Coturnix japonica: one gene and its partner. The protein of the gene in region 2 interacts with the protein of the main gene of each other region in a biochemical or structural test. Links are inferred from orthologs where the notes say so. Each region holds a gene or a part of one and is shown on either strand. Other genes may lie near its edges.

What was found.
Region 1: the proteins of MYO18A (region 2) and GOLPH3 form a complex in vitro, tested with the Homo sapiens proteins (2 studies listed by IntAct). The link is inferred for Coturnix japonica from reciprocal best matches to the Homo sapiens genes MYO18A and GOLPH3.

The regions. Positions count from the first base shown.
Region 1 is NC_029547.1:8,894,547-8,897,175, forward strand, and holds part of GOLPH3 (Golgi phosphoprotein 3), read right to left. Parts: intron 204-2,629; coding exon 1-203. UniProt on the Homo sapiens protein: Phosphatidylinositol-4-phosphate-binding protein that links Golgi membranes to the cytoskeleton and may participate in the tensile force required for vesicle budding from the Golgi.
Region 2 is NC_029534.1:4,721,226-4,725,045, forward strand, and holds part of MYO18A (unconventional myosin-XVIIIa), read right to left. Parts: coding exon 3,604-3,820; intron 3,207-3,603; coding exon 3,097-3,206; intron 3,021-3,096; coding exon 2,955-3,020; intron 2,721-2,954; coding exon 2,592-2,720; intron 2,207-2,591; coding exon 2,063-2,206; intron 1,306-2,062; coding exon 1,216-1,305; intron 1,140-1,215; coding exon 1,020-1,139; intron 945-1,019; coding exon 833-944; intron 746-832; coding exon 618-745; intron 534-617; coding exon 379-533; intron 1-378.

The DNA of each region.
Region 1 (2,629 bases), on a different chromosome or scaffold from region 2:
CCATTTGTCAAGAACTGCCTCCTGAACCTTCTTGATGAGGCGCTGTTTGATGTTGTTGTTGGTGAGAGGATGCGTAGTCATGTCAAAAAGAAGGAAGTTCTGTTTCTCTGTTGTCAGTACACCTTTTTCCACTAGATTTTTAGCTAACCGTTCACGGACATTTCGTAACTGGTAGTGCAACTTTAACGGGTTCCATGTTTCACCTAAAAAAACAAACAAAAAAGCTAGTCAGGCAAAAACTAAGCTGAACTACACAGTGATTTTTTTTCCCTGTGGTGCAGAGTGAGCTGTCAAATTCATATAGCTGACTACTACCGTAAGACAGTGTGGGCATGTCAGCATTTCTCTGATCCCTGACCTATCCAGACACATTAATAAGGACAGAAACCATGAGAACAAATTTGAAGAGTTTCAGGGTATGTTTAAAGTTGGGATTAAATGCTAGCTAAGTCATGCCTTGACCGAGAATACAATAAATAAGCACTCTTGTACTGATGGAGAACAGTCACAAAGAGTTTTAATAGTAATAACAAAAACATTTATTATATAGAATTTAAAAAGCACTTCCTCCATCCTTGTCCATTTAGAACAGAGTAGGTGAGTTGGAAGGAACCTTCCAAGTTTGTCTAGACCAGCTGCCTGACTTCTTCAGGGCTAACCAAAAGTTAAAACATATTTGTCTGCTTCCAGTATTTATCAATTCAGAGACTGGAAGAACTGTCACCACCATTCTTTCTGCCATAAAGTTAAGTTTATGTGTAACTACCCTACATAACTGTTTATTCTGTATCCTCGAGTTTATGCTCTTTCCCCCATTTCCGCTCCTCTCAAGGGCACTTCAGAGCACATGTATGCACTTAAGAGAAGGGAATTTTTAAAGCACAAAGTATGCCAACAGCTACATATGCAGCTGAAGTTGTTAAGCACTGAGAAATCCATCTTTGTTTAAAAGTTTACTTTGCCTAAAATTTTTAGGTATAGCTTACCTTGGTGTTTCAGCATTAAGATCTCCTCCTGATATTAAAAAGCCACTGCACTTTTACAGGTGAGGAAAGATAAACAGCATTGAACATTTCTCATGTAGAAACAGTTTTTCTGTAAACAATATAACAACTTCTACAGCAGTGTGTTTCTATTTTTCTGTTACTTTTCAGTAATAATAAATAAAAACACAGAAGAATTTAAGTCTTTCCCACTTAGTTCAAGGTGACAAGCTTTATGCAAGTAACAGCCAAGTCAAGTAAACAAATGGGGTGACACCAACTGCATCGTAAAAGTCCTGTAGGTCCCACTCTTTACTGCCATGGGATTTTACAGCTTGACCACGAATGAAACTATCACACACCATCACCCCCCAAATGGCAGTGTCCTTTCAGCTCTTCACAGAGCAAACAATTCTTCTTAGATGCTTCTAAATCTGGTATGTGGATGCGCCTGTGATAATAAAAACTAGTACTGTGGTGACACCTTGTGACCAATCTCTACCACTACACATTTATTCCAATACAGATGGATGGATGTTTTTAATACAGGGAGACTTGGCTTTTTGACCCAACATTCTGTATTCCCTGTACTTGCCTCTCTTTGAGGTTATCTTATAAGCAACACCGGCCTAGCAAATGTAGCTTCAAACATCCATATAAAGATTTCCACAATGGTTTTGAACTCATACACATTGGAACAGAAGCAGTATTCTTGCACTTCTGATAACGACAGCTGGAACAACTGTTTTCCCAGGATCAGGTCCCAGATTAAAGAGCTCTTTTAAAACATTCTTCAAACAGCAGTTCTCAACCATGAGAAATGCAAAATACCCTAGCACCATAGAAGAACCAGTAATTACTGGTGCAAGCAAAAAGGATTGATCTAAGTCTCAGCCACTGCACTAATGGTAATAATTTTTCTTAGAGCCAAAGTTTATCAGGCTCATGCCCCAAGGAAAACCTACAATATATTTCAGTTATTGCATAAACTTCTTTGAACCAGCACAAACTTGATGTTGTTAAGGCGAAATGTCTGTATTTATGAAAAGAACTGCCTTTACAAGCTGCAGAAGTGAAGGAGGGCTGGGCAAGAACAGACTAAATCGTGAGGATGTGCTGCAGCCCTGCCCCCTACTGACAAGAACTCTTTCATTCTCTCTACCTACTGACCAACACTCACAGAACTAGAAAGAAGGAATGGAAAGGACTAAGTATGAACTGTGCAGGAGAACATGAGAGAGCAAGTAAGGCTTATTGAGGTAGTACAGGAAAAACAGAAATACAAAGAAGCAGAGAACTGGACAAAAAAGCCAGTATATGCTATTAAATGTGGCTGTTGATCAGCTTAAATTATACAGCCCATGACTACAGCTGTTGGAGAGTTATATTAAGAGTTTTAACTGCAATTGTAAAAATGAAATCAAACTGATGTTTTTCCTTTTTTTTTTTTTTTTCCCAAAAAATGTTTAGCTTCATATGAAGATCTGCACACAAACCACACAGATCAACTAAAAGTGATATGCAGTATTTGAAAATATTTGTTACATTTCCCCAGGTATTAAAAAAAAAGAACTCGTCTTTATTATTTCCTTATGACTGATGGCTGAATCTTCACTCTCAACTGTGACAACCATAAGGGTAGCTTC
Region 2 (3,820 bases):
AGCACAGACTCCAATCCGCGGAAATTGAAATTAATTAGATTGGATTCTCTCGCTGTATTTGTGTGCGCGATCATTACCATAATGAGATGAAAGCGTCCCTGCTGCTTAATAACGTTAGCAAACTTTGGGGCTGGGAGAGGGGATGGGGAGAGAGCGGAGCCATGCGGCACGGCACAAGGGTCCCCCTGCACGGGTAAGGGGTGCCCCCCCCCAGACACCCCTGTGCCCAAAGCAGGGCGAAGGCAGCGCTCCCTGTGTGAAGCACCTCAGCCAAGTGGGAGCTGGTGGGGTGCCCAAAGCCCAGCTAAAATGGTAAAAGCACTCTGCGAGGCTCTGACAGCCATGTCACCACACCACTGCCGTGCTGCGCAACCCCACCTGCGCTGCTTCTTCTCCAGGTCATGGTTGCGGCCTTGCTGGCCCTCAAGGTGCAGCTTGGTGTCCTGCAGCTCGGCTGCCAGCCGCTGGCACTTCTTCTTCAGCTGCTGCAGCGCCCGCTGGCTCTCCTCACCATCCGCCTGCAGGTCTGCCAGCTGTGGGCAGGGCAGGTTGGGGGGTCAGCGCTGCAGGGTGGGTTTGGGGGTATGGTGGGGAGCGCGGTGCAGAGCAGCACTCACCTTGCGCTCCAGCTGCCTCTTGCCCTGCTGCTCCACCTCCAGCTTGTCCTCCAGCTCCTGCTGCAGCCGCTTCTTGGTGAAGTCGATCTCCCGCACTGCCCGCTCGTATTTCAGCCTCCACTCACCACCTGCAAGGGGAAATGGGGGCTGAGCGGGGTGATGCTGCATGGGGCACCCCACATTGTGCCCACGCTGTGTCCCTGGTGGGACACTACCTGAGTCATCATCATCCAGCTCCCCATTGAGCTCGGCTGCACGGATGAGCCGAGCCTCCATCACCTCCATCTCCATGGACTCCATCTGCTTCTTCAGAGCATCGTACTTGGCCTGGGGAGGGGACATGGTGAGCACCCACAAGGACACGTGGTGGCGGCGGGGGCGGGTGGGAGCACGGTTGGATACCTGCAGGTCCTTCATCTCCTTCTCAGCGCGCAGCCTCTCAGCCGTCTCGGCGTCCAGCAGCTGCGAGGCCGACTCGCCCGTGTTGCGTTCGTCCGTCAGCTCCGATGTCAGCTCCGTGATCTGGGGACAGCGGGGATGTGGCAACAGCAGGGGGGACACGGCACCGTGCTGAGCCCACCCCAGGGCTGGGACCTACCCTGCTCTCCAGGCGGTCGCTGTTGAGCCGCAGCTCGTTGCGCTCCTTCTCCACCTTCTCAAGTTTGCTCTTCAGCTGCTGGATCTCTTCCTGCAACAGAGCGGTGAGGGAGGGGATGGGGCTGGCAGCACCCCCACCCCCCTGCATGGGGCGGGCAGTGTGGGGGCTCCCCCTGCCAAGTGCTGGGCAGGGATTTTCCCAGCACAACTCCAACCCCATAAATGGTACCAAAACGCCTGGCAGCCTCCAGAGGAGAGGGTTCCGTGAGCCCACCCCAGGAGAGGGGATGGGACCAGGAGGGGACCCTGCAGCCCTCAGCACTGACACCATCTCAGTGGGTCAGGGTGAAAGCTGAGCCAGGCGGTGGCTCTGTGCCAGGCGGGGGCACAGTGTCTGGTTCCCCCCTGTGCACGCCTCCTGGCACACGGTTTCATTTCCATTCTCCATGCCTTGTAATTGGGCTCTTGCAACAGCCGGCTCTTGGGATGCTAATGACACGCTGATTTGCAAATTAGGGAGCAATTTGAGCCTGGTGCTGGGGGGCACGGGGTGCCCTGCTTCTCACCCAGGTGGGGTCCTGTATCCACCACAGTGTCCTTCATCCACTACGGGGTCCCATATCCACCATGGAGTCCTGCATCTACCATGGGATTTTGTGCCCCCCCCACTACAGGTTCCTACATCCACCATGGGGTCCTACAACTACCATGGGGTCATGCATCTCACCCACTGTAGTGTCCTGCATCCAACACACAGTCCCACATCCCACCTCCCTGAAGGGCTCTGCCCAACACCGACCCTCCCCCAAACCCACCGTGCCCCATCCCCACAGTGCGGTGATACCCACGTCCTTGCCACGGATCTGCTCCTCGGTGAGCTGCACCTCGATCAGGGGCCTCACGGTGGTGAAGAGCTTCCACCAGGGCCAGTCCTTCACCCCTTTGTTCTTCTTGATGTTCTTCTGCACGCAGCGAATGGCCAAATCCTGGATCTGCACCGGGGCACGGCGTCAGCTCTGGGGTATCGCCGTCCGACTGGGATGCATGGGTGCTCAGCACCCTGGCACGCTCCCCTTCATTATCAAGCAGGCTAATTGCCCCCGGCTTATCTATCTGATTGCCTCCAGCACCGAGGTGCTGCAGCGATGCCTATTTTACGCAGTCTTTAATTATAAAGTGGGAGCTGGCACCGTTGCTCCATCCCGGCACCGTGGGGCAGCACCAAGCCCACAGCCCCACAGCCGGCCCCACAACTCCCCACAGCTCAGTGGAGGCGGGAGGGGGAGGCGCTGGGCCAGGCGGCAGCAGAAAGGCTGCGCTGCCCATTTTAGGCGAAATTGTGTGCGGAGGAGCGGGGAGGGGAGAAGCACTACAAACCTTCCTCTTCTTGAAGTGCTGCCGTGCCAGGAAGCCCCTGCACGCCGCCTGGAACAGGGTGATGTTCCTGCTGGTCTGCGCGTCCCGCTGCTCCTCCAGCCTGGCCAGTGAGCCAGCACGGAAAAACACCTGGAGGGGGGAGTGCAGTGAGATGCCAGCATCCCTCCGGTGTCACATCAATGGGAAAGGGGTGCTCTGACTTTATCCCCAGCCCTGCAGCCCTCATCCCAGTGTGGGTGGCCCTGTGTGGGGCTTTTGTTCCCTGAGGAATGCTGTAGGGGGAGTGCACAGTGCTGCCCTTGTGCCATGTGCCCACCCCTGCCCCGTCCACAGAGAGCAGGGATGTCCCTGCAGGGCTCCTACCCGGCTCAGACCCATATGATAGCTGCTCTTCTCCAGGTCCAGCGATTCCAGGAGCTCCTCGACTGCCTGTGGGGAAGGAGAAGCATCAGAGTGTGGGACATGGGGTGTGGGATGCAGGATGTACAGGTTCAAGGCTGCGTACCCGCTTCTCATCCACCACAATGTAATTGCGGCCGTGCTTCTTGGTGAGGTGTGGGGCCAGCACGTCAAAGCGCCGCCGGAACTCAGCAAACACCATATGGTCGGGGTAGCCTGGAGTGGGGAGAGCAGGGCCATGGGGCAGCTATGGGGCAGCCGGGACACCTGGGGGATGGCCAGGCACAGCCCCATGCCTTTTCCTTTGTTTATTCTTGTGTGGAACGAGGCTTTCCTTGGCCACGTTGAACAATTTTGGCCAAGATCTGGGGAGAAAACAGCCTCGGGGGAGAGCAGAGACACGTGTGTCACCCACAGCCCGGGAGAGCAGCCAGCAGTCAGGCAGCACCGGCACAGACACCCAAGTAAGGCCATGTGTGTCCCCAGTGTGACAACAGCTGGGAGGAGGACACTGGCAGCAGCACTGCTCAGAGTGAAGCGTGTGCCAAAGGGGATCCCCAGGGGGCACCGAGGAGCACGCATGGGGGTCTGACCCGCCGGGGGGGGGTCTCACCTTGACGGTACATGCGGAGGGCATCAAGCAGGCGGGACCCGCGGAGCTGAGCACGCAGCAGGGGCACATCCAGCTGCATCAGCCCTGCAGGCTCGCAGTGCTCAGCTGGCAGCTCCAGCTCACTGCCGCTCACCCGACGGCACGGCAGCCCCCGGGGGTCCCCACTGCTCCCTGCTGCTTTGGGGAGGAAGCAGTGCACAAAGTGCAGCTTGGATTT